4 linked regions of the Mytilus edulis genome follow. The protein of the gene in region 1 interacts with the protein of each later gene in a pairwise test. Links are inferred from orthologs where the notes say so. Each region holds a gene or a part of one and is shown on either strand. Other genes may lie near its edges.

What was found.
Region 2: the proteins of ras-related protein Rab-6A (region 1) and ecotropic viral integration site 5 ortholog-like interact in a two-hybrid assay, tested with the Drosophila melanogaster proteins (2 studies listed by BioGRID). The link is inferred for Mytilus edulis from reciprocal best matches to the Drosophila melanogaster genes Rab6 and Evi5.
Region 3: the proteins of ras-related protein Rab-6A (region 1) and TATA element modulatory factor-like interact in a two-hybrid assay, tested with the Drosophila melanogaster proteins (2 studies listed by BioGRID). The link is inferred for Mytilus edulis from reciprocal best matches to the Drosophila melanogaster genes Rab6 and Tmf.
Region 4: the proteins of ras-related protein Rab-6A (region 1) and golgin subfamily A member 1-like interact in a two-hybrid assay, tested with the Drosophila melanogaster proteins (2 studies listed by BioGRID). The link is inferred for Mytilus edulis from reciprocal best matches to the Drosophila melanogaster genes Rab6 and Golgin97.

What each region holds. Positions count from the first base shown.
Region 1 is NC_092346.1:48,057,588-48,064,593, reverse strand, and holds the start of ras-related protein Rab-6A, read left to right. Parts: upstream 1-4,001; 5' UTR 4,002-4,071; coding exon 4,072-4,168; intron 4,169-7,006. UniProt on the Drosophila melanogaster protein: Protein transport. Regulator of membrane traffic from the Golgi apparatus towards the endoplasmic reticulum (ER). Mediates membrane trafficking during egg chamber growth and organization, possibly upstream of exocyst component Sec5.
Region 2 is NC_092345.1:76,065,496-76,073,472, forward strand, and holds the start of ecotropic viral integration site 5 ortholog-like, read left to right. Parts: upstream 1-4,953; 5' UTR 4,954-5,093; intron 5,094-7,977. Other genes in the region: putative peptidyl-prolyl cis-trans isomerase dodo, read right to left, coding at 1,687-1,735. UniProt on the Drosophila melanogaster protein: Functions as a GTPase-activating protein (GAP). During border cell migration in the ovary, acts as a GAP for Rab11 and is necessary for the maintenance of active receptor tyrosine kinases at the leading edge.
Region 3 is NC_092352.1:9,448,131-9,455,302, forward strand, and holds the start of TATA element modulatory factor-like, read left to right. Parts: upstream 1-4,155; 5' UTR 4,156-4,239; intron 4,240-7,172.
Region 4 is NC_092345.1:62,728,963-62,736,496, forward strand, and holds the start of golgin subfamily A member 1-like, read left to right. Parts: upstream 1-4,512; 5' UTR 4,513-4,636; intron 4,637-7,534.

The sequences.
Region 1 (7,006 bases):
CAAAAATACCTAAAATAAATAGCCAAATTCATCTAAAGCCAACTTTGCCTGAGGGAGTTGAAGCCTAAGTTTCATAATAATTTCAAAATTTATAAACAGACAATTTTAGTCAAGTTTGTTAAATCATGTCAGTACCGAAGCACTGACTACTGAGCTGATGATACCCTCGGGGACTGATAGTCCACCAGCAGAGGTATCGACCCAGTGATGTAAAAAAAAATGGAAAACAACACGTTTTGTAATTTATTGCGTCCGAAGCGCTTTTCTGGAAAACAACTATCATATGCCAGACTTGACACATTCATTTATTTATGTAAAAAAGTGGTGGGTCAAGCCATATTTCATAGCTAGCGACATTTCTTACTTGTATGACAGTCGCATAAAATTGCATTATATTGACAACAACGTGTGAGAAAAATACAAAAGACATAAATGGTAAAAATGTCAAAAATTGGGGTACAACATAGTACAATGCTATATAATCTTAACCACTATATGAATTTTGTCAAAATAGAAAATAAAATGACATTTATACACTCTATAAACAAAGCACATATGCAAAAATGAAAGACAAGAATACAAAAGAAATACCATAACACAATAACACAACGCATGGATGTATAAATACCGAGTCACACTAAAGGGACGTTCCCAAAAATGGACAAGACAGCAAAGATTGAAAATAAACAAAGACAAATAAAAAGAACACTATAACACGTAAAATTTTATGATTATAAACAACGTCAGAAACTATAATCTCTTCTTCAAGACCATCGTGTGTTATGTGTGAAGATGATATGGAATATTTATGAACAAGGGTTTGGTATCTTCTGGGTTTTTTTAAAGGACGAGACGTTCTATGACATAACCCTAGTTCGTCAACCTTCTGCTCAGACAATATTACCGTTTTACTAAGTCTGAGTAGAGCTGCAAGCTCTTGAATATCGAATGAGTTAAAAAAATGTATATCCCATATACAGGTGAAGTTCGTAAATTGCTGCTTTGGTGGAGGAAATTAATTTTATAATTTTTAAATTATGTCATAGTTTCTGGTACTGAGATGTCCAATGTGATCCGGAGGAAGTTGTGTAGGCTGTTTCTTTAATTTCTGGTTCTGGTGGATATATCAAAGAAACCGTATCAAAAAAGTTTGGATTTTTATCAGAAAGAACATCATCAATAATTCTTAGTATGGAATTAAATGATCTGGCTTTTTGGTCTTCTATGTTTTGACAAGTGTCTGGAGAAACTCCGACTCGTATGAAAATAAGGAGAGATACACAGCCTGTTTCCATAGGAATGCCGACAATTTGTTGAAAAAGTCTACCTCCGAATTCAACAAATATGTTGTCAACTAGAAAATCAAGCATTCTGATCATTTGTTCCTCGGTGTAGTATGTTTCAGTTTTTGTTAATTATTAACCAAACATGTCGGATGGTATCCCAAAGCAATTAATGCTATAGTGTTTGCTATAATTTCATACTGAACGTTTTGTGGATTATTTCTTTTAAATTATTTTTCTGTTCAAAATAAGGGTTTAAAGAGTTGAAAATCTAAGGTTTTGATAGAACTAAATAAGGATAAGAAGACGTGCTGACGGAGCGAAACAACCAGCGAACTTTGTAAAATGTATTTATGACACCTTAGAAAGTTTTCGGACGCCATTAAGACACGGTTGAGCTTTTTGGAACTTCGATTCCATTCCCTTATCCTAAATTGTGACATTACCGAAAACGACATGTCACTGGATTTGAAATTGCTTGACCCACACGACGCGTATGACATGTGGAGCAGGAACTGTTTACCTTTCCGTAGCTTTTAATGAGAAATAAATGCTTGCTACAAGTGTTAAAGTTGTAAGAAGTTTTCAATTACGCTTGTGAAAAAAAGTATAAATTTCTGAAACGTCGTAGAACAGTACAAATTGCCAGGTACACAAATGGGCAATTTCATGAATTCTTATGTAGTTTTTCACAGGTTGTGTAGGTTGCCGGAATATAGCGTTCAATTACAAACAATCACATGTTTAAAACAGAAGGATAAACCTATGGAAAACACTTCCGCTTTACAACATAAGAACAAACTATGATAATCAGTTGAAAAAAAGGTTAACTCATCATACATCTAACAAAAATACGGAGTGGACGTGGACGGGTATTTGTAATCCCAACAACAAAAAGACACTAAGTACAGATCTGAGAGTACATGCAGTTACAGACAGCTAGTTCAAAGCCAATAACAACTAACTAAAAAAATCATGCATCTTTAGAAGACTCGTTTATCATCCAGTGCACATCCAACATTCGATGGATTTAGTGTAAAGACGTCATAAACACTGAGTCAGAGAAAAAAATGACCTCGTGCAATGTCTAGAAACAGGTATCGAAACTGATAGTAGAACCATAAACGTGCATATATGTATATACCAATAGTGTTCAGTGGCGGATCCAGTCATTTTAAAAAGGGGGGATTCCTAACCCAGGATAAAGGGGGGGGGGTGTTCCAGCTATATGTCCCCATACACTCAGTGTTGAAATGGTAACCTTTTAGAATGAGTTATTGTTAAGGACCGATAAGAGTATATATACTGCATATAAAATATAAGTGATGTTTTAGTCTTATTTGACGAAGATGTAACCAAACAGACTGTTATAGAGAAATGTCATTTCTGACTTAACATTCAGCGTAAATCGATATTTTAAACCAATAGTTCTAATTTTGAATTGATATGAATGTATACCTCTGTATGTATACAATGCCAATACATGACCTTCTGCTGTTGTCTGTTCCATGCATGGTCGGGTTGTTGTCTCTTTGACACATTCCCCATTTCCATTCTCAATTTTATTGTTAATGACAAATTGGCTTTTTCATGAATTCATCATGCTTACCTTTATCAGTAACACTCTCAAAAAGAAAGAAGGCGAACGAGTTTCTTATGAGTTTCTTTGTGTCTCATATGTTCCGCTTGAATTTTATAAATTAAGACTGAGAACAAACCAAATAGTTTCTTACGAAATAATGACGTAAACACAACATATGTACATGTATGTCCATTATGTTTTTTTAAGTGCACCCAGTTGAACAAATAATTCAAATAAATAGATAGAACTGTTTGCTCAAATTAGTAAACTAGTTGATGTACCTCAGACTGGTGCCGCCGGCTTATGTCGGAACTTTTCGATATATTGATTTCAAAAAATTATTTTTGAAACTAGACCAAAAAATTACTTTCATGTTGAAACTTACGCATCCAGACTATTTTTCGTTATTTTACATTGATGAACTAACAGAAAAAATAATCAACAAAGGGAATGTTGAAGAAGACCGAATATGTTGTCGTTTAAAAATAAAAGCAACACTTTCCTTCAGAACGAAATATTTGACATTTCCGGTGTGAACACGCATGTCTGTAATTTATGAAGACTCGGAACGTGGCGAGTTGAAAGAAGACAGCTAAATAATAACGTACAGTCTCGACTCACACCTACAAATTAACTTTTATATTTCTACATAGGAATCAGATATCACAATGAGTTCCTCTGGGGAATTCGGGAACCCGCTGAGGAAGTTTAAATTAGTTTTTCTAGGTGAACAAAGTGGTAAGTTCCGATGACGAGGTAACGGAAGTGGTCGTGTTTACCTATTTGACTTCGTTGTGAACCAATCATGTCATGCACACATTGAGTCATCACTTGTAATAATAAATTATTTTTCATTTAATATTAATTTCCATACAATTGGCGACCTAACCGTTCACTGAAATTGTATTTGGAAAAGCAAATTGCATGCACTAGTTTTGTTTGGAATGTATTGACTAATGCAGACACACGACATAAATTCAAGATAATTAGATGAACAAATTGCAACTAATATTACTATAAGTGCTAGAAATAAAATTTCATCATAGGCAATCACCTGCCAGCATGGAGCTTATGATATAGCATATATTTTAGGACTATAGACCACATTTAATGACACATAAATTAACAATTACAAACAGGATATAACACAAGATAAAAGTTCTTAGACCTTTTAATCCATTTGAACATCCTTATTATTGTATTAAAATGAGTTTTGCTCAGAAAGCAATGGATATCTCTAACAATAATTATGTCAGGAGCTCGTTATTGAAGTTTAAGTTGGCTTTTCTTGGTGAAGCTGCAGGTAAGTTTAAATGAGCTATGGCCCAATACTCAATAGAAAATACTTTTCGCTATCTTGCCTTAAACTTATTTTTTGCAGCAAGACTTCTATTTTAAACACCCCCTTTTGTGTCCTTCTATGCTTATGTCAACAGAGGGGTTTGATAGATCTTTGCATTTTTGTGCATACCTTAAAGTTAAAGACTATTATTGTCATTCTAAAGCAGGTACAACATTGTTTAGATATAAGAAGATGTGGTATGAGTGCAAATGAGACAACTTGACTTCCAAGTCACATTTTATAAAAGTAAACCATTTAAGGGTAAAGTACAGCCTTCAACATGGAGCCTTGGCGCTCACCAAACAGCAAGCTACATGTACATGTACAATGAGCCCAAAAAATAACTAGTTTATAACCATTAAAATGGGAAAAACAATGGTCTAATCTATACAAAAAAACAAGAAAAACTTAAGAACCACATGAACAAACGACAACTACTGACAACTACTGAACATCAGATTCCTGACAACTTCAAAATGTAGGACAGGTGCAAACAAATGCAGCCAGTTTAAACAATTGTATTCTACATGTAGTCTGATTTCTCCCTCTGTTAAGACTTGCCATAAATTATTTCCTTACTTCATCAGTGGTCTCGTTAGCCCAAAATAGAAGGGCGCCGCGCCCTGTGTGCCCTCAGCCGCGCCCTTCTGCCCTGACGCCGTTTTCTGAAAAACCCTTGTGCCGTTTTGGTAAAATTGCCTTTTGTTTCATCGATTTCTTATCAGCAGTTAAATTACATATATGACACCTGGTGATTGCCCCCAGGTAACGAGGTTAATCATGTCATTACAATCAATTATTGTGGATAAGACTTCAAAGGTGTTAATTACTAGGTAATTTAATTAAGACAAATTAATGTACCTTTTTGTCATAAATATGATGAATGTGTCTGCATTTTCTTTTTGATCTCCAAGTCACAATCGAAGAGTGTATGAATGAAGACTTTCATGAATTTAGAATTGAATTGAAGTTATCAACTTTGCCTTCACAGAAACATCGTCCATCTCAACTTGTGAGCGACGAGCAGACGTAAACATGTTGGAAATTAATTTTGGAGTTACTTCCCCTGAAAAAGCTTATTACAAAATTGTGCTCCTAAAATATTATCTAGCACTAAAAATAGGAAAAAATAACCAATTGAATACAAAATTATATAAGAATGTTACCTTAAGGATACTAACTGTCTTTGAACATACAAAAAAAAATATATTGCAATTTATTTTTGATAATCATACATGTACTGTACTTTTGGCAATCCATGTTTTATACATTCTCAATTAAGAAATATGCATGAATTAATTGTTTGAATGGTGTCAAGCTATCAACTTACAAAAATGGAAGTGTGTAGTTAAACTCTCATCACAAATCAACATGATGAAGCTACACGAAATATTATATTCCTAAACACAAACAATAAAAAAAGTTTTGAGGGCCAAGCAATGAAAATTTTGAAATACAACTACTCTGTCATGTACATGTATGGTAAACTATGGTAAACTATGAGATGTTTAGTTTATGTTCTTTCTTTTTGGAAGGAGAGGGGGTGGGGAGAATAGTTAGTTTATTTTTCCTCTTTTGGTTAATAGTATGAATGTGTATTGCCATGTTACAAATGTATATGAACATGTAGTATGAATGACTTTTCTTATGCAAATTTTATAGAATAAATAATAACACCTACTTATGCATCTTTATTGACAATATATACAGTAAAAAAATATGTGAACTCGTGATACACGCAGGGACATAAACATTAGAAACAAGCAGTGCCTTCTATCATAAAAAAGTGCCCTGCCCTCCACTGGCACCCTGCACCTTTTGAATTCTAGCTGGAGCACTGTTCATGCTATTGCTTCCTACCCTAATTTGTCAGTATATTGTGGAAATGGAGGTATATTTTAGGCCTTAACTTTCTACATGTGTTTCCTGGGGAATACCAAAATATCTGATCTCTTAGTCTAAATGGTTTATGTCTCGTGTGTGATGCTTGATATGGGAGACTTACAAATGTAGAAATACTGGGTGTCTGTCCTGTTCTTGTTATTTGTGCTTATATATGTAATTCTTATTGGGTCAACCTTCACTTTAAACTTTTGAGTTCTCAAGCCCAAAGCTCAATTTTTTGAAAATTGTACATGTGTAGTTGGCTTGTAGAGAAGAATTTTACAAGCCTGAAAGCATTATTACAAGCCAATGCTGTAGAACTTGTGGTTAAGCTTAAGGTTCCACTAAAGTCAAAATATAGGACACTTAATAAACATCTAAACAATGCCTGTATTGTTCAACCTACATGTACATATATAATGAATAAAGTCCTAAACTAGGAAAACATATGTTCATTTAAACATACTTAACACATACTTAACACATACACACTGTGTAAATTGTAAATAAACTTGAAATTGTTATGTGGTGGCCAAACCCATTCTTGAGGTGAACACTAAATTTTCTAAAAAATCTGTGAGAAGACTTAATTTGTTTAAAATTGGTATGGATGACTTCTGTTATACATGTATCTAATGCATGGCAAGGTCATGTTGAATTTTCAGAAAATGTATTGATTTTCGAGTTTCAGTTAATTTTATGTATCTAGGTGAACAAATATCGAAGGAACAATACAGAATTGGACAAATATGCCATTAAAACATATATATGTGACAAATCAACATGAGCTTGCCCTGCATTACATGTAACAGTATTCGTCCACAAATTGAATCGTCTCGCAGGCCTAAAGATTTTTTTTTTGAAATTTTAGTGTTCACCCTAAGAACCAGTTTGGCCACTTCATAACAATTTCAA
Region 2 (7,977 bases), on another chromosome or scaffold:
ATTTTTTTTTATTATTTTTTTCAGCTCCAGTGATTGTAATAGCTACGCAGTTTTCCTTTTCAACATACAGTGGTCATAACTCATATTGTATATACACATTTTTTGAAGGTAAACATGTAACTGAGCCCTATATGCTTAACTGCAATTAAAAGAATGTACGTATTTCTTTACATACATTTATTTGTTAACCGTGTTTACATACGCATAGCTTATTTGAGCACTTGGTGAATATATCCTATATTAACAGTCATAAATAAATGATTAGCAAAACTAGTTGTAAATGCAAATAAAACTTAATATTAATACAAATTTTTTTTTAGGATAGCGAATAATGATATATTGGAAATTTACGTTTCCAAGATGGCCACCATTCAAGATGGCCACTAAATGCTTCAATAGTCCTCAGTTGATATTCTCTGTCATAAGAAATACGAAAGTTTATCAAAATTGGTAAAGAAATATATTTTTCATATTTTTTCTAATTATTTTTATTATTTTTTTGGACATGATTTCAAAATGGCCGCCCAGAGCCGCCATTTTGATTTTCTAAATTGGGTCCATAGCTAAAAATGTTAGTTATGACCTCAACTAACACTCTGCAAAGTTTGATGCTTTTACCACATTCTGAGCAATTTTTTCACAATTCGACTGGACTATCAGGGGACTTACTGAAATAAGTGATTTTTAAATCACTTATTTGAGTAGCAAATTTGAGGTTTTGTCACAAATTGGGATTGTAAAAAGATTATCAAATTTTTCATCTAATAAAAACAATATTGTAATGTTTTTAATTTAAAACTTTCTTAAATCTTTTTAATTATTGGCTAATTGGTGTTCTTTCTGTAGTTATAGGCTCCAATATCGTCAGACTAAAAACAAGAAACATGAAAGAAACCTTATGATGGAAAAAAAAAGATTAATAAAGAACTCAGCAACATAAAGATGAGTGGTGTCAAGTATTGAAGACATCACAGCACGTGGCAGACGACTAAATAGTTTGATAAAGACGGGGTACATCTAAATGATGATGGACAATTTAAATTCTTCTGTTCTATTCGCATATGTGCAAAACTGTACTTGTAAAGTGTAAAATTAGGTGCAATCAATTATTTAATAAATAAATATACATGGTACACCAATAGGTCTTTTTATTATTTTTTAAGTAACCTACGACTCATATTATTATTATATATTGATATTGGTTACAAAATGTCTCAGATACGAAACAACCTAGTAAGTTACAAATAGACTAGTTACGAAACGACCAGGTTACGAAACGACCTGCACCCGTTTATTACATACAAATCAGTTTCTGTTGGTCAGTGACAGTGTTTCACTGTATGTGGCGGAGATAGAACAAATAATTATGACGTCTTGAAAGCCTATTATAATTTTTTTAGCGTCAAAGAAAAAAATTATAACAGGCTTTCAAGTAGTCCAAATAATTATGACGTCTTGAAAGGCTATTTTAATTTTTTTCTTTTACGTCGAAGTAAGGCGTCATAGAAAAAATTATAATAGCCTTTCAAGACGTCATAATTATTTGGACTAGCTTTCAAGATGTCATAATTATTTGGACTAGGGCCGAGAGTGAGTGTTAGCCCAAATTTCGTGACTCAACGTGATTGGGATGATCGATCTTAATTTTAAATGATAGTTTGCTAGTTAAATTCTGTTATAAATTACTATTTGAGCGACTTATTTTCCTTTCCCATCCTTCTGGTACGTCTGACATCGTGCCGATTGAAAAATAAAAATGTGGAAATAGCGGCTTGATCAGGGTTAAAAAGTGTTTAAAATGGAGAGTCGAATATATAAAACAACAGCGGATAAAACTATGTGTATATTCCGTATATTGATAAAGTAAGATTATTTCATATTGACAAACATTTATACATAAGCTCTGATGAGCTTTAACCTTCATGATATAAAAACATGTTGTAAATGAAATGTATTTTGTACACTTGCATTATGCAATGACAAGTTTATCATATATGCTTTATCCCGTAAAATATACTTGAATTTGAAAAAAAATATTTATCTTAAACTGACACAATCTAATTAAAAACCGATCTCTCATCGCTCCTGTTTCTGATATGTCGCGACATATCAGAAACAGGAGCGATGAGAGATCGGTTTTTAATTAGATTGAAACTGACACTGGCAGCATAACTCTAGCATACAAAAAAAATATTACAAAATAAATGCACATATAAATCTCGACGACAGTTTAAGATTTTTTTTAAATAAGTTAGTAACTATCTTTATTTTCTTTGGTACATGTAGATAAGGATAAAGTCAATCAGTCCACACAAACTTGAAAAACATGACATTCTTGATCATTCTTATTCCATCATGCACCCGGGGTTGTATCCTTAGTACAGACTGTCAAGTATATTGTTTCCAAGAACTATAACTGCCACTTGAACCAACTACCTGATAACATCACAAATTGCACATAAGTAAAAAGAACACTGTTGCCATGGCTCTATAATTGTGTTACTGTAGTTAGTACACTAAGATGTCTTTACTCTGGTCATCACATACAATTTTAGACAACTTAAGAAAGGGAATACAAATAGAGACAGGGTTATCATATTATCAATTATTGCACTTTACGTATTGTGTTGGACCATCCGGACTGGAGTCGGTTCGCAAGATGCAAGCACACCGCACCTAACTATACAAGATGATCAGCTGGCTAGCACAAAGAAACAAAACTAAATACAATTCAAGCGGAGAAAAGATTTTAATAAATCCTGCAAACAGAGAAGCAACAGTTATAACTACCCCAGGAATGGACTGACTAGATTTCTAAAATGTAAAAAGCTCGCCGTTCATAGTAGCAAAGCGGAAATATCGGCGTATAGTATTCCGTAAAAAAGCAGCAGGCCAGCGAAATGAAAAGATTTAATTATTTAGAAAAGTAATAGAAGTATTTCGATCTCTAGTAACTGTATTTCACGGATGTTTCTGTATCTAAAAGAATACCATGAATATCTAATATGAAGCAAAATTTGTAAGTTATTCAAAATTGTGTAGACCTCAAGTGCCTCTGTTTTTTTGTATTTCTTGCTTTTATGTTATCAATCAATAATCATTTTTAATTGAGCGCCTCGTATAGAATTCACGTAAAAAGAGCTAGAGGCAGTCAAACTCATATATAGAAAATAAACTGACAACGCCATGGAGCTATAAAATAAATAAAAAAGACAAGCAGACAAATAATAGTACACAAGACACAATACACGGAAAACTAAAGACTTAAGCAACACGAACCCCACCATGATAAACTAGGGGTGATATCAAGTGGGTAAACACACCCTGCTCCCACATGTGGCACCCATCGTGTTGCTCAGGTTCATTATTACAAAACCCAGTAAATAGTCTAATTCGGTAGGTCACATTCCGTGATGAAAAGTGGGTTGTAGTTACGACATAAGGAACATATCCCAGTGGCGGATCTAGAAATTTTCATAAGGGGGGGGGGGGGGGGGGGCACTGCCTGCCTAAGAGGGGGCCTGCTCCCGTCACGCTTCAGTGATTCCCTATATAATCAACCAATTTTTTTCTCAAAAAATGGGGGCCCTGCCCCCCTTAAATCCGCCTCTGTATCCGATATCATCTGTGAAACAGTTATTCCATAACGGTTAACCAACTCGTGATGGCGTCCGTAAAATTTACGAAGGGATGATTTAACTATTTGGAACTCTTTTTAAAAAGCTCCTTTGTGAGCAGCAACCCTATATCAAGGAAATCATGATAGGAAATACAAGCTCGGTAATATCGTATCAGTTGGGACATAATATACTCAATATGCATGTGCTGCTGGAATGTTGCTACATAGAAATGGAAAGTTCACAATTGTGAAGCTGAAATCATTTCTTTTGTCGTAAAGTTTTGTTTTCAATCGACCCTCATTGTCATTTTCTAGATGTAAGTCAAGATATGAGGCAGGCTTAACTGAATCTGTTGTATCTCTTATCTCTATTTTGATGGTATAGATGCGTTCAACATAGTTACCAAATTTGGAATTATTTAGTGAGAGAACATCATCTATATAGCGGGAAGTAAAGTTAAAGAATATTGCTAACTTCTCATCTTTCTTCCTAAGAAGTTCCTGTATGGAGTCAGCCTCATAATAATAAAGAAAAAAATCGACAAGAAGAGGGGCACATGCAATTGGTTCCCATTGGATTGCCGACAGTCTGTTGAAAACACACATCCTCCAAACGTAACAAGTATATTGTCAATCAAGAAATCAAGCATCTATCTTGATTATGTCAGTTTTAGAGAATTTTGTGTTTGAATCAGAGTGATTGAGTGTTGTTGAAGATCCAATGAAGAATGAACTTAAGACATTAAACCGGAAAATAGTGGATGCTTACAATTAATTGAATAATTAACAACGCGACATAAAAAAAATAGTATATGAATAACATAGGTGCTTTGGAAATGCATGAACCCCCATTTTTATTTTATTTTTTTTAGGTATTATACTGTAACCACAGGCACTTGTCTCAGAAAAAAATCCTATATACTTTTTAACAGTTAACTGCTGTTATTGTAATATCATATGGATATGTATTGTAAACTATGAAGGATTGGTGGGGTGTGCAAAAATACAGAATAGTGAAAAATAGGCCAAAAATAATGTATGGAGAATAACTGGTAGGGTGCCCTCGGAGGGTGCCGCAGTAAAATATATAGAATAGAGAATAATGGACAAACAAAATAAAGAATAGTGAAATTTAGAAATAACATTAGAAAATAAGGATCTCCAATTATGAGGTATTATATGTATCTTCTTGAACTAAAAGATAAATAAATGCATTCGTCCCCAGGTTTCTTGTATATTTTTTTATACATTGGATATACTTTCGGAATTATGTTGATCGAAGCTGGTTCTAAATTTAGATATAATTTACAAACGTTTGAATGATTTTAAAATATTTTCGATATTTTCTTGGTTTATCCCTCAGAATGAGAAACCTCAAGAGACTAAAAATTCTCGAAGCAAAACAAATCACCAGGAAAGAATTTTGACACATTTTGATGAATTGATTCACTTTTGAAGGAAACTACTGGTGTAGGTAATATTTGTTATTTAAGAATTTTATGTTTTGTGACATATATTTATTTTGAACTTTTTATGCCAGTTAAATACGAAAAGTCGCCTGTAGGGCGTTCCTCCTCCAAAAAAACACTTGATCAACACTGGCACTGGCATACATGTGTATCAAAATTGCATATGGCACTCAGGAACAGCCTCCAATTAGAGGAGGGACGAGGGTCTATAAAAAGAAAACAAACTAAGCCATGCTTAGAACTTTAAAGATATAACTTTTGTATTGAATTCTGAGTCTGAGAGACTGTACAGATAACTTAAGTCTTAATAATTATAATATGATTATGAGGCAGGCATTATCTGTGAAAGGGGACAAAGTCTAAATGATTTTTTAATTTTTTTTATTTCACACATAATTTAACTTCAAAATCTGTTAAAAGAGAAACGGAAATACCATAACCTTTCACAGATAATACCATAACGTTTCCTATTTTGGTTCTGTTGTTAGGGATTTTTAATAGTTGTGACGTTATTTAAGTTACAAATGTATGACGTTATATTCAATGTAAACGAAAAAAACGCTATCTCATAGTCTCATGAAAAACGAACTTGAAGATGTAAGTAGATTTCTCCGCAGATGCAGGAAAATTAAAAATCTAAAAAAAAATGTGAACTACATTTTGTATTTTGAGTTCATTAGAAGAAGATTTTTTTTGCGGGAAATTAAATTTTTTATTTATTATTTTTCTACTGTAATAGGGGACTTCATCCCCTTATAATTTATGACATCTTTAAAGACTGTTTTAATTTTTTGCTGTTACGTATACGCTTAGTAGAATACTTCACTGCCTAAAAATTATTCAGCCTTTCAAGACGTCATAATTTTTTGGTGTAAGATACATATCCTGTACCATTCATGATTACCAATTTCAGCTTGTAGTCTTGTACTACTAAAAGCTTTAAGCAAACTTGTACCAGGCTTAAATTAAAATATTGTTTGTTTGCCCTTTACCGACCGACCCTATAAATTCGTTCCGCCTGAAAATCTTTTATTTGTATCTACCAGCAAGATTTTATTTTATTTTATTTTTTCGTTCCTACAAAAAATCTTATATTTGTATTTCCCGCTCAAAACTTTTTTACCGCAATCCTCGGGTTTTATCTTTATCGTATAAGGTCTAGTCCGTTTGGTATCACGTGAGCGTTTTACATGCACACTTGCAGTTAGAGTTTGAAATCATGATATGACGTACTTTAACTCTGTATCTTTATACTTGAAGAGCAGGGTTCATTTACAAAAAAGTTTGTTTAATACAAAATTATCAACGTGTGTACAAACTATTTTGAGTAAACGGACGTTGTATTCTATGTAGGGATGGCCTTTTGTGATCCGTAGATAAGGATGATTATGTTAACAATGCCTTCGACCAGCATTGCTATATTATTTATATCTGACATGACAAAAGCCTGTAAAGTGGAGAATATTTGGCAGTAAAATCGCCCAAGTTTTCCATACAGATCATTTATAAATGCGATGTAAAATACGTGACAATTGAGTTTAAGTCTTGTAGCATTTTTATTGGAAACATAGGCACACTCGGAAATTTAAACACTAGGGACCTTTTCTACTAGTAATGTATGTCTGCCCGGACATATTTTACCAGGACAAAGTTATCTCTTACAGAAAACCTTTAGATAGAGGTAAGCGTACAAGGTACGTAGTACAGAATATTAGTGCAAGTTAAAACTCTTCAAAGTTCCAGGCATATATAAATGTTGAAAATATGCGGCACAGCTCTATATTTTGATATTTGAAAACAAAATAGTAGTGCATATGAATTAACTTCACATTCTACATGATATTTTTTTTCAAAACGTAGTCCCAGAAACTTATTAGCAAAAGCAAAAATGACATTATGCAGATTTTGGAGGGGGGATAGGACCTTTATTGGGACTCCGGGATCGGGTGTTTTTAAGCACGGGATTTCGGGATGTCGTGTTTTTAAGCCCGGGATTTCGGGATCAGGACCCCCTCCTACCCTCCCTCATTTTGTATCTATAAAATAAAATATTATACCTACCTGCCTACCCATGAAAAAAAATATACCGAGCCTAGTTATTTTTTTTGGGAAAAAAATAAAATATTTTACCTACCTACCTACCCTGTTTCAAAACATAGGGTCGGAAAAGGGCAAACAAACAATATTTTAATTTAGGCCCCACTGCTACACTGTTCATCAATTACATAATTAATTCAGGCTAATTTCAATATGTTAATCTCAAAGAATACATAAAACTGTCATGACTGTAAGTATGTTTTGTAAGGACATTTCATTAAACTCTTGGTATATTATCGAACACTTTAAAAGTTGATGATGGTGCAAGCTTACATAGAACCTCTTTGCAGTGATATAAGCTGAAGTCATGATCAATTGCCATAAATGAAGTCATTGAGCATGTTGAACAATCCCCTCTTTAGTATCATTGTCAAGAAATAACAAAGGCATTATGACATTCAATAATATATGGAAAAATTCACAAATTTGAAATTAGTCGGTATATTTCTGATTTTACATTCATTTGTGCCAGTAGGTCCCAGGACACAGTTATCGTCCTTTGGTTTCCGTTGTGACTCCCTAGTGTGAACAGTGTATAACTTTGATTTTTAATTTGATACACTTTCCAATATATTTCTTGATATTTAATGCATGAAATATTAAGTAAGGGGATGAAATTACATGTTAAAAAAATTTGGGTGCTGAATCTTAATGTTAAGAAGTGATTTGGTCCAGTTCAAAAAGGTCAAATTTTATTACTTCTGAAGCTGTCAAACTGAATTTTAGACCCCCTTAACACAGAATTCTCAATATTTTGAGTTAGAGCTGGTAGAAGTTTCTATAACTTTAATA
Region 3 (7,172 bases), on another chromosome or scaffold:
AATCAACTCTTGAGGTTGAAACGTCAAATTGACAAGAATACAATACCTGTATTCTGAACCGAAGCTAAAAAAAAGTGTTTTAGTACTTTTCCTTAAGGACTTAGCCCAAAACTATATGCCATTAACACCGTAGGTCTGAAATCAAAAGCGTGAAAAGGTGCAAAACAAAATGTGCTCTAGAATGAGATTAAACGATGCTATTGAATAGATTTATGCGACCAAAGGTACCTGTACCTTCTAGACGTGTCTTCTGAAAATTACACTTTTCTTGTGAGGGGAAATTTAGACGATCAGATATATATATTATATCATACTTCCATGGATATTCTAACCATGAGTTTTTTTATTTATATGATCTTCGAGGTTTCCTTTAAAAACAACATTGATGACTCGTATGAAGAGAAGCATTTTTGGGTAGACATCAACCGCGCATGCACATTAGACATGATGAAGTTGGTGATCCAAACTTTGATCACATATATCTTCATTCTATACAATCCCGTAAAAAGGTAATGAATTGATTAATATTTTATCGACGTAGATTTACGCAACCACATGTACAAACAACTACAAGATACATAACATATATATATATTATAAGGATGACTTTTTTTTTTGTTGACTTGTAGCAGAGCCCTATCTTTTTGGGTTTTTGTCATGGCATTATCGAGTTTTTTTTCGACTAATGAAGAGCTTTATCACTGTTGTATCTTTCGCGTCTCTTTTTTGATAGAATAAAATGTTAATGTTGTGCTTTCGGAGCACACATTTGACATCCATCTTGTAAAATTCATTTCCGTCGACTGTCCATAGTTTTGAAGGAATTCGTGATTGGAAAAACAATGGAAAGACACCATTGACTGTTACACATTTATCAAATTTGGGCAGTATTAGCCAACCATATTTGGAGTAGATATGTAGGATTGTTAAAATGAGTTCACTGATTGATTACTGGTAATCAGGATGCGATAAGACCACTATGCTGAACAGTATCTCTTTTGATTTAGTTTGATGGGCTGAGACTTTTTGTATGTGTTTGAAAACGCATTGCATCATTCTATATATACCAACTCCTGAAGAAAGATTTTGACAAAACGTTCTCGAAAGACAGCGTTGGTCTCATCTCCATCCAGGACAAATATCTTACTGGATTTAGTGAACAGTATACCACTACCAATGCAGCCCAATGGCATATAATCCCACTTAGAACTAAGATAAAGACAAAGATATATTTGATCCACGCGAACTAGATATGTGTTGGGAAAATATTATTTTGTTTCATGAAAACAAAACACGGGTGATGATAACTATGTTCGTCGACTCGACGACACACAAATTAAAACAATGTCGATCCGCTATATCGCTCACAAGACAAATTCAAACATCCCTGACAGACCATTCGGGAAAACAGCAATTTTATTTTACTCTTCTAACAAGTTATCAAGAATATAGATGATACTTATCGAGATCCTGTAGCAATATCTCCTGGAAAAGTTTGGTCAACTGTGCGATTGATGTTCGAACAAAATGGGTTTGCCACCATTGATTTTACTGGCCCAAAATCAAATGTAAAGTAAAGAGGCAAAAAGTTTACCTCTACAAAGTATAAGATAACTAGAGTATTTGTTCTCAATTATTTCAAAAATAGTTTAAAGTCAAACAAAACATTCAAGTGAGCAAGCAACTATCAAACCGTACAGATCTAATTTGATAAACTCGAGACCTTACCAATTTGTTTTAAACCTATCCTTGAAACGCAAATGGAAGCTGCTTCTTAAATCACCAGAACATGAACGATATTCCAATAACGCTGTCAGCTGTATCACCACTCCAGAACTCGCCGATCCTCTATATATCCATTGAAGAATTGCAAGCATTTACATTGTACATCGATCGAATTAGTATCTCAAAAAAGAGGGACGAAAGATACCAGAGGGACAGTCAAACTCTTAAATCGAAAATAAACTGACAACGCCGGGCTAAAAATGAAAGAAGACAAACAGATAAACAATAGAACACATGACACAACAAAGAAAACTAAAAAATAAGCAACACGAACTCCACCAAAAACTAGGGGTGATCTAAGGTCCTCCGGAAGGGTATGCAGATCCATGCTACACATGTGGCACCCGTCGTGTTGCTTATGTTATAACAAATCCGGTAAAAAGTCTAATTCGGTAGGTCACATTCATGAAAGGGAAGGGGATTGTAGTTACGACGTAAGGAACATATCCGATATCATTTGTGAAACGGTTATTCCATAACGGTCAACCAACTCGTGATGGCGTCCGTAAAATTTACAAAGGGATGATTTCAACTTCGCCATTTGGAACTCTTGGTTTAATAGCTTCCTTGTGAGCAGCAACCCTCTATCAAGAAAATCATGATAGGAAATGCAAGCAAGGGAATATCGTATCAATTGGGAGATATATACCCCGTATACAGGTGCTGCTGGAATGTTGCTACTTAGAAATGGAAAATTCACAATTGGAAAGCTGAAATCATCTCTTTTGTCGTAAAGTTTTGTTTTCAACCGACCCTCATTGTCAATTTGTAGATGAAAGTAAAGATATGAGGCCGACTTAACTGTATCTGGTGTATGCTTTATCTATAGTTCGATTGAATAGATGCGTTCAACATAGTGTAAGTCACCAAGCTTTGAATTATTTAGCGAAAGAACGTCATTTATATAGCGGAAAGTAGAGTCAAAGGATATTGCTAACTTCTTATCTTTCTTCCTAAGAAGTTCCTGTATGAATTCAGTCTCATAATAATAAAGAAACAAGTCGGCAAGAAAGGTGCACAATTGGTTCCCATTTGAATGCCGACAGTCTGTTGAAAAATACGTCCTCCGAACGTAACACATATGTTGTCAATAAATAAATCAAGCATCTTGATAATGTCAGTTTCAGAATATTTTTTTGTTTGAATCAGAGTGATACTCTACACAGTTGGATTTATCCCTCCCTAAGACAAGATACTTGTATCTACGCTGGCCATTTTTTTTTATGAAACAATGCAATACCATGCAACTCCTTCAATTTAGTTTAGAATGTGGAATACTTGTGTAAAATGTAGAAAAGTCAAAAGCCGTTTTAATACTATTGCAAGATGAAAGAGAGTTAGATTGTATGTACTCTAAAAGATCTTTGGAATTTTTAAGGATCCACATATGATTCACGCCACCTCAAGTTGAGCATGGCTCCAAATACAAACCACCTTTTTGAACTGAAGTCAGGAGAATACAACGTTTTACTATTTTGGAATTCAGCAGTCCGTAACATTTGATGGGGATGCTAGCTTCTTTTAAATAGATGGTACACATGGATCGATCGGATTGTGTGAACTCATTCAGTGTTAAGAAATGCCCTGATTTAGATGTGAATGAGCCTAAAGATTTAATCAATTACGTGGATCAGATAAATCTTAGTCTCGGTCAAAGAAAAAAACTTGACAACATTTCAAAAGACAAACAACAGTACGCAAAAACACAACATATACATCTAACTAAATACTGGGCAACACGATGGGGTATCTAGTTAAAAAGATGTGTCCGAGATCCCGATTTCCAACCAATGTGGATAAAAATGAAACATATACAGGTCTATAACTTATTTAAATACATTGTATTAAATATCTCTGACTGAATGTATTTTCAATGTTAAACACAGAAACATAGAAAGGTAGAATCTTGCACGGGCAACATTAGTTACAATGTTGATGTACGTACACCTAACCTAGCAAGACTTCGTAAGGGAGTAATTTCCCCTTTAAAATCATGACAAAAACTGATCTCCAGGCTACAATATTCCAGAGACATACAAGGGAACGATTATTTAACTTAAAAAAGAGGTATGTTTTTTTCCTAAAAAAAAATTTTGATCCCAAATTTGATGAAGAAAAAATAGCAGATGACAAAAAATATTCTGAAATCATAATCCAGATTTTTTTTATACCTAATATAGTGTTAAATTAAAAGATTGTTTGATTTGCAAGAGAACAAAAATTCTGTGTCAGACAAAAAACTATATTCCCCTCCTAGAAGTGAAATGGTTGTTCCCTGATACTTGAACCAGTAAATCGATATCAGGTCTGATATTTCAAAATATTTTAGACATCCCTGTACATCCGGATTAAAAAACCGGAAGTTCCGGAAAAGTTCTGAATTTAGTCTACTTAGGCGAAAAACGTCAGCATCAACAAAACTTTGAAGATATCCTGTAAATAGAAATGATAAATGTTAGTTCATTTACAAGTGATACAATTCACATTTAAGTTCTGCTTTATATTGTCATTGAGGTAGTTGTGTTCTCATGAAATATGGTGTATATAGTGTGAAGAGGCATTTGTATACACACAACATACAATTTGCCTGTCATGCCTATGTGTACACATTTGTCCATGTCTGTTTCATTGAACTTTAGATAGTAATCAGCAAAATAATCTAGGCCAACCTCCTGACAAAAGTGATACCAGTACTTTGGAGCTAAGGTTCCACTTAGAAAGACAATAAAGCAATCACTATGCCTGTTTACAAATCACATACAGTGGAGTCCCCGGTGTCGGCGCGGCCCGTGACATCGCGCATTAGCTGATTTCGTCATGTCAACACAGTAACACATACAAAATCGTTCTTGTTATTGTTTTAGCCTTCCGAAGGGATAAAAAAGAATAAAATTGATAAGTTCAAGAATTAATTAATAACTGCAATCCCGTGATTTACCATATTTGGCCAATTTCCATTAAAAAAATTACATCATCAGATTATTTTTGTTTTATTTCAGTCAAATTAATATCAGATTGAAATATTTTTTGCTCTGCATCCATGGAAGTGTGTTTGGTACAAACTCAGCTATATTTCGTAGTATACATCTTTCCTTTATTTCAAATAAGCTATTTTTGGAAGGCATGCGCGAAATCACCGGACATTGGAGGAACTCTCAGAACAGGGGTTTTCCTAATTTTGGACACACATTACACAAAATCTAAAGGATGTAACCATACAAACAGAAGATTTTATGAAATAAAAGTATGTTATGAATGTGTTCACACAAAATTATCCAATTTTTGGTTTTATCACTTGAATGAAGTGAAGTCATAAGTCTTAGGTGTGCGGATACACCGGACTGCACCGTACATCATCTCATTGCAATCACAAAAACAGACAAACTATGGAATTAATCAGACAGTCTCATAACATGAACACACTTTCATACCCAATTCCATCCTGTAGAACTAAAAAACAATTAAAAGCTGGAAAAGCTTTCCTCTGAGTATTGTGATGAGTGACAGTCACTCTATTGAGTCCTTCATTGAAAGTAGCAGGTACATTTACAACGATTTCCGAAGGATTACAAGAACAAGATTATTGTCCCAAGGAATAATTAATTTATCCCCAAAACATGATTTTATATGGTGTAATACTGCTAAGATTGTAAAATTATATGGTCTGAGACGTTTTAATCGTTAATACTCTTGAAATATAAATACAAGTTATCTTCAAGAAATCAATTTGTATGAAATTTTTAAAGTTGTCTACCTCTTGAATAATTACGTCCTCCATATTATTTTCAACAAGTAATTTGCATAAATAAACTTAATACAAGACATGTTAATTGATTTCCTGACAATGCCTGAAGTTAAATTGCACTTTTATTGAATAAACACAACTTATATCTTAGAATTATTTACTTTAATATTATTTTAAGTAGTATAACATCATGTGTTCGAGACAAATCAATATGTCCTTTGGATATTAAATAGTTCTTCTAATCCTTGGAAAATGGTGTTAATGCAAAGTAGCTGTCTCAACAATATGACAACATACATTTTGTACTACTTCAATAAATTGATCTTGATATTTAACAATAGATAAAATAAAAATGTGCACAAACATAATTATAACATTCTACATTTTTAGGCAGTTAAGCTGCCTTATGCGAGCACCCTAGATTTGTGTTCTACCCAATAAATGCTGAAAGGCATGCCTTTTTTATTATCTTCCTGGATATTTTGTTATTTATAACTAATTGGACAGTTTTTTCATACATTTAATTCTGGATTACAAAAAATATGATCAGAAAAACCTTAAATGATCTTCGAATCACCCCAAAGTTTTAAAGTTGCACATATGAATTAGAGCACATTAGGAATCCTTGTGCAGTTTATTATCCCCTGAGCTTTTGGCAAAGATGTCAAAGAACAAATGTATGAAATATTTAATTGCTGAAAATCTCTAAAGACAAGTAGTTTAGATTTCCCAAATGACAAAAGTCGTAGGAATATTGTGTGTCGTCAATACGTAGTCAACTACGTCAGTAGTCAACTACATCAGTAGTCTATTATATAAGTTCAACTGTTCATGCTGTTGGCGGCAATTTCAAATCAGAAGACGAAATTTTCGTATCTTTTCAATTTGGAGATAGGGGTTCAAATTAGCGGTGGTCCGAGGTCTGCGGCCTTCCTCTTTTGCAGTCGGACTTTCGACTTGGTACTAGCTATGCCCGACCGACATTCCACTTGAAAGAAAATAAAAAAAAAATTTTGCAAACTATTTTACCAAAGTCTCCTAATAAACGATCTAAAACTTATTTTCTTCATTATTATACATGACAGCGATGTTCATTTTGTTCAACCGCTAGCTTTATACAGAAAACCGCCGACAAATAATGTGTAAATTCGAGAAAAATCGTATCTGACAAAAACAACATTGAAAACAAAATGGATGCCAGACAATTACAATATCGGATCCGATTCCGGAAGCGGAAAAGGGTAATTCCGGGTTTTGCCGATCAACTAAAGAAAACCAGAAAGGTGAAAAAAATACATCTATGCATGGTAAATAAATATAAACACTAGAATTGAAAAGCAAAAGATATATGTAAAAGAAAGAAAAAGCAGAAAATATTTTGTACAGAAACTCAAAATTACTTTTTGACCAATTTTAATGTCAAAAGTCAATACAATGTGACCGTTGGGAAAAGTATATATAGGGGGAGTTCACTACACATCCTCCTGTTTGAGAACCTGGAAATGGTGGAGATTCCCACCCCTAAACTATTTATACTCATTTCTCTAATTCTTCTTCAATTTATCCCTATCTGCACCCATTGTATAAAAAAAAAATCAACATGTGGTTCGTTTGATCTCAGTTCTTCATTGGTTAAAATCTG
Region 4 (7,534 bases), on another chromosome or scaffold:
CCCGTAAACATGTAATATAAAAAAGAAGATGTGATATAATTGCCAACCTCGCTACCCAAGGAGAGTACGGGAGTGGGTCGTAACCCTTGCCAAGGAAACAGCACTCATATATAATATAGGAGGAGAACCACGACAATAAAACGCAACACACACAGAAATTAACTATAATTCAACAATACCTATTTTTCTGACTTGGTACAGGACATTTAAGAAAAAAATGTGGGTTGAACATGGTTTTGTGGCTAGCCAAACATCCCGCTTGTATGGCAATGTTTAATATAACATTAAAATGACAACATTACATGATAGGACTACATTTTTGTACAATACAAATAAATGGGAGAACATACAGGACATGGAAACACACACATAAAAGCTATTAAAAAGTCACAGGCCTATATTTGAATACGACAGACGCGCGCCAAGCCCACAGAAGACCCATCAGTAACGCCCAGATAAAAAAAAGTTCGAGAGCCGAAACAAGAACAAAGTTGAAGAGCATTGAGGACCAAAAGTTCAAAAAAAGTTATGCTAAATACGGCTCATGTTAACTGCCTGGGATAAGAAAATCCTTAGTATTTAGAATGATTCATACTTTTGCAAACAGTAAATTTATAAAAATTACTACACTTTTATATAATAGATTGGTATCTTTTTTCCATATAAAACAAAGATTTCATTGCCAAAAGCATCCTTGTCATCAAGTATCTGCATATTTACAATTTCACAGTAGAAGAGGGACAAAAGATACCAGAGGGACAGTCAAACTCATAAATCGAAAATAAACTGACAACGCCATGGCTAAATATGAAAAGGACAAACAGACAAACAATAGTACACATGACACAACATATATATACTCTCAGATCTGTTCATTGCTGTCTTTTTGTGTCGGAATGTATAAGAACCCGTCCACGTCCACTTGTATTTTTGTCCATCTGATGAGTTAAGCCTTTTTAAACTTATTTTTATAGTTCGTTCTTATGTTGTACTGTTATACCATTGTCCCAGGTTAGGGGGAGGGTTGGGATCCCGCTAACATGTTTAACCCCGCCACATTATTTATGTATGTGCCTGTCCCAAGTCAGGAGCCTGTAATTCAGTGGTTGTCGTTTGTTTACGTGTTACATGTTTGTTTTTCGTTCATTTTTTTTTTTATATAAATAAGGCCGTTAGTTATCTCGTTTGAATTGTTTTACATTGTCTTATCGGGGCCTTTTATAGCTGACTATGAGGTATGTGCTTTGCTCATTGTTGAAGGCCGTACAGTGACCTATAGTTGTTAATGTCTGTGTCATTTTGGTCTCTTGTGGACAGTTGTCTCATTGACAATAATACCACATCTTCTTTTTTATATAGAAAACTAAAGAATAAACAACACGAATCCCACCAAAAACTAGCTCAGGTGCTCCGGAAGAGTAGGCAGATCCTGCTCCACATGTGGAAAACATATCACATGTAAGAAACAGTTTTCTCGGTCAGTACTTTCCATTGACTTATTCCATTTAAAATACGTCTACCTTTGAAGTTTACCATGAGAATGTTCCAGACCTTCGAAGGAAAACTTTAAAAAGGTTAAGCTAAATTTAAATGATAGATGTGTAAATCTAGTTGGACAACATAACGATATGATAGATTTTACACAAGCTAGCTTGATTTTGTCAACTTGGTTAGAAATTATCATATAATCACTGTAAACATTAATAGAGTAGTCATCGAAATGTGTTTAAGATAGCAAGATAGGCATATATTCACACGATTTAACTCATTCTAGATACATTCACTGATAACACGGATCAACGACAAGTGCGAGGTTAACTAAATAGAGAATATTGGGCAAAAAATAAAGAACAGAAAATGGGCAATTTTTTTTTAGAGAAAAAACGAGAATAATGGGTGCAAAAATATAAAGAATGACTGCAAAAACTTAAGAACTGGGTAATAATATGAAATAAAGTTAACCATTATTTTTTAAGATAAATGATTACATAAATAATGAGCGAAAAAAATATAAAAAATATATAGGAATGAATTAAGCACCACCCATCCATATCATCAAGTACCTTTAAATAGTCAACGATTCACAACATAATTTCGATCAGCTGCAATCGTAACATGTTAACAGCCCTACTAATGTTATGTATTTTGTACATGTGTTTCGTTTAAAATCTCTTTTTGGTAGTTTGGTTTTTGTTTTAAAAATGGTATCTAAATGAATACCAAATTATAAAAAAAAATGAAATAACCACTGTCTTGTATCTGGATTCTTTGCATTTTTATGTCATTTTTTAGCTTAAAAAAATTACTTTCATTCTTTAAAATTCTAATGAAAATGCTTTTTTTCTGTAGTCTACATGTAGAATTTATGCCTTTTTGGGGGGCAGTGGCTATTTGACCGGCACCGGCAAAATAGTAAATTTAATACATTAATGAAACATTAATAATATTAATACAATCATTATTAAATATATTTTTTCTAAAATATATATATAAAAAAGTTGATTTTGATATCTGTTAGTGTAAAATCTATACTGAGTTTAACTTTGAATATCCTGCCATGTGATAAAAATAGTGCTATGTAAAACTGCATCATAACAAGAACTATCTTTAAAAAAGATATCCGACGTATTTAAATTTGAGTATATGTTTAAAACTATCATTTCGATAACCTTCAGAAGCACAATGACTTCATGATGCAGGACCTCTTTAATTAAATCTCCATCTGAATGTAACTACAAGAAGGCGATTGCAGTGCACCGAAAACCTGCATAGTTTGACACAATTTGTCCTTGGTGGCAACGCCCGTTGACTACCTTCATCTTGTGAACAACAATGCTCTAACTATTTAAAAATCAATGAATTAACAACAAAAGAACGTTACAAATTGTTTTGTGAATATGCGATTATATTTAAATAAGCGATTTACCATTTAAATAACGTGTTCTCTGTTTTTGTTCAGTATTCTCGGTCCTCGTATCTTTTTGTTTACATTCACCAAAACCCCGCGGAAATCTCACATGTGTAGGTGCGTTCTAAAAGTCATGTACGTTCGTACAACAAAGTAAACATTAAAAATTATATTTAATTGTCCCGAATAAACAGCTGTCATGGATGCAAAGAGCTATTGGAGAAACAATTATTTTAATAAAAATATAAATCTTTGTAAGATCTAGTTCAAATATTTATAGTTTTTCACTTGCTTTCCATCACGATATAATTAACGAGACGTTTTTTCAAACACAACCAAATCACCCACCATGACAGAATTTTCTCCAATCACAGAAAGGATTTTTCGAGCATGCGTATTCTGTTGCCATAGTTATAAGCGTCCTTAAGTTCAAAGGGCACAAACCGAAACTATACCGACTACGTCGGAAAAAAGACAATATCAAAACTTGTTTGCTATGAATTTTAAATAGAAGGATGATTTAACATTTGCAATTGTTATTATAAAACCATTGTTTTGCCTTTCAAAGTTGTTTCATTCTAGCACATGATAAATGTTGTTACTCCAGACAGGAACTACACATTACACTGTCTTCCTTTGAATCAGCGGCATGTGTACATATGTATATAGGATTTTTTTTTCTCTTTAAATACGCTCTGCATAACTTCCCATGCATCTTTTTGACAAAATTTGTTCATCAGATCAATGTTTATAATTGAGTCCAAACAAGAGGCACTTAAAAAGTCAGGTCTTGTTTCAACTTGTTCCTTGGTTATTAAAATGTTATTAACAGAGTTTTTTGCTAATTCTAATATAAGGAATCCATTTTCTTTGGAACTTTTCTTATGAAATGGCAAACTTGACAAATTATTACTTTTTTTTATCAGCTTTTTTGGAAGTCCAATGTCATTTGGGCCTTAATTTCTGCTTTTGTTTTAATGTAGACTTTATAAATATTAAAGTTTTATTCCAACTCTGATATTTATATTCAGGTGAATCATTTGAGAATGCTGTAACAGTTTTCTTTTGAAATATACCACTTGTCTTAAGGTTTGTACTAAGTCATATACAGGTACATGATGGATTTTTTCATATTTTTTTTTTAAATGAATTATTAATTTAGATATTTAATTATTATTCTTACATTTTGATTCCAGTGAGACGTTTTTTTTTATGATTTTGATTTATTACTTAGCTTTTTAATTCTCTACTAAGCACATTTTATGATCAATCAACCGTTTTATTCAGTGCCGGCAAAATAGCCTTTTTTCTATTTTGCCGGCGCCGGCTAAATAGCAATTATTTGCTATTTTACCGTTGCCGGTCAAATAGCCACTGCCTTTTTTTTATTTGCCACATTTACTTTTGTTGCACCCCATTATTCTACTTTGTGTTGTTTATTTATTTATTTATTATTTTTTTATTTTTTTGCTCATTTTTCGCTGTTCTTTATTTTTCCTCTCCATATATATATCCTATATTCTGTACACCCCATTCAGACCCTTAATAAATATCTAAAATTCAGTCCGTTGTGTATATATGTAAGTCAATATCGGTAACTGGTCACATTTTGAAATTCCGGAAGTAGAAAAGGAGAAGATAACTGAAATGTAAAGATTTGCCAAGCTGGCGATCCGGGTTGATAAATAAGAAATGTCCTCCTTATATGCTTACGATGACATTTATTAGGTATGAATAGGCAGAAAAAAATATACATTTATTTTGTAAAAGTAATTTAATGTAAAGACTTTGTATCGTCAATTTCATGATTCAATGAACTGATATTGATAAATATTTAAATTTTCCATATTTCCTCAAAAACTGCAAGTAGTATGTATACATTTTATTTTAAAGTCGTCTCTTATGTACAATCAACATAAGTCATGAGCTTAAACGAACTCGTTAAAGCAACTTTAAATATAACATGTAACTTCATAGTGTTGTAAAAGCAATCACCGTGTGCGCCACATTTTTAGAATGAAGCGCTTCCACGCTTCATACAAAATGTACTTCGGTCAACGCTTTTACACCCCAATAAAGTTATAAAAAGAAGCATTCAATTCTTAAATAAATACAAGTACATATACAAAAAATGTAAACATTAAACTGTTTGCACATACAACAGTGATCCGCCATGTGTCTAAGTGTCTGGTGATTTTGTGCATTATCTGATTTCTTCATATCCACAATGCAGTAATCAGGAAGGATGTGCACCATGCGCCTGTAGCGAATATCGACCAGAAATGAAGCATAGAGTGACTTATGTAAGCGCCCTCGCGGTGCATGATATTTTTCACTTCGTTTCGATACGTTTAGATATCATCAGATGGATTTCAGATTGTGTTTCGTGCCGCCATGTGTGTGTAGACAGATTGTGTAATGTTCCTCCAATGATAAGAGCACCTATATATTTTTGGAATGTCTCACGTGTTTTCCTATGGAAATAATAGAACCATGGGGTGTAACTGATTACCCAAAAAATGTAATTAACCATCATTCATGATATGATTTTTTACAACTTTAAATTTGTGAAATTTGGCTAGTACAGACGAGATTTGTCTATAATTATTATCTTTTAAGTTAGTTCAGCTTGCTATTATTTCGATTGAAAAAATCCAAAGCCTTTTTAGCTCACCTGGCCCAAAGGGCCAAGTGAGCTTTTCTCATCACTTGGCGTCCGTTGTCGTCGTCCGTCGTTAACTTTTACAAAAATCTTCTCCTCTGAAACTACTGGGCCAAATCTAACCAAACTTGGCCACAATCATCATTGGGGTATCTAGTTTTAAAAAATGTGTCTGGTGACCCGGGTTACCAACCAAGATGGCTGCCATGGCTAAAAATAGAACATAGGAGTAAAATGCAGTTTTTTGCTTATTACTCAAAAACCAAATCATTTAGAGCAAATCTGACATGAGTTAAATTGTAGTTAAATTGTTTATCAGGTCAAGATCTATCTGCCCTGAAATTTTCAGATGAATTGGACAACTTGTTGTTTGGTTGCTGCCCCTGAATTGGTAATTTTATGGAAATTTTGCTGTTTTTGGTTATTATCTTGAAGATTATTATAGATAGAGATAAACTGTAAACAGCAATAATGTTCAGCAAAGTAAGATTTACAAATAAGTTAGCATGACCAAAATGGTCAGTTGACCCCTTTAGGAGTTATTGCTCTTTATAGTCAATTTTTAACCATTTTTCGTAAATCTTAGTTATCTTTTACAAAAATCTTCTCCTCTGAAACTACTGGGCCAAATTAATCCAAACTTGGCCACAATCATCTTTGGGGTATCTAGTTTAAAAAATGTGTCTGATGACCCGGCCATTCAACCAAGACGGCTGATATGGCTAAAAATAGAACATAGGGGTAAAATGTAGTTTTTGGCTTATAACTCAAAAACGAAAGCATTTAGAGCAAATCTGACATGCTATAAAAATTGTTCATCAGGTCAAGATCTATCTGCTCTGGAATTTACAGATGAATCGGACAACCCGTTGTTGAGTTGCTGTCCCTGAATAGGTGATTTTAATGAAATTTTGCTGTTTTTGGTTATTATCTTGAATATTATTATATAGATAGAGATAAACTGTTAACAGCAATAATGTACAGCAAAGTAAGACCTGAAAATAAGTCAACATGACCAAAATGGTCAATTGACCACCTAAGGAGTTATTGTCCTTTATAGTCAATTTTTAACGATTTTCATAAAATTTGTTAATTTTTACTAACATTTTCCACTGAAACTACTGGGCCAAGTTCATTATAATAATTGTAAGCAGCAAGAATGTTCAGTAAAGTAAGATGTACAAACACATCACCATCACCAAAACACAATTTTGTCATGAATCCATCTCAGTGTTCTCCCCAGGCCTTTAAAGGACCACGGGCCCGCGATGTATAATTTTCTACCGTGGTGGTATCGTTCTTGCCGCGATGTATAATTTTTCACCGTGGTGCTAAAATTTTCGGTAAAAAAAATCATAACGGTAAACCTTCCCGTGTGGTATAAAATTTCAGATGAAAATTGACCAGTTCAAACCAGTTCAATCCAGTTCTGACAACGAAGATTGCTTACACCACGTGATCGATTTACCTTTTGAGGTTAACCTTGATGATTGGATTTAATCGATGTACATGATTCTTGTGTTTTAATTGATTAAGAGATCATAACTTAATCATCACAGACTTATGAGACTTTTGAGGGACAAGCAGACATTTGTTAATAAACTCTATTACTCCAGACTTTGGTCATAAATGATTTGCGTATTTTTAAAACGTGAGTTACTTCCCCTGATTTAGCTTATTACAAAAATGTGCTCCTAAAATATTATCCATCATTTAAAATAGAAATAAAGTACAAATTGAATGCAAAATTATGTAAGGATGTTACCTCAAGGATAAAAACTTTCTTTGAATATACCAACAAAAATATATTGCAAATTATTTTTGACAATCATACTTTTATTAAAGCACAGACATATTATATTAAATATGTAGTATATCCATTTATACTTCTATTGACCGTGTAAGGGCTGTATAGCCAGTCAAGGTCGTTAAAAACTTCCATTTCATTTGATGTATACTGATTT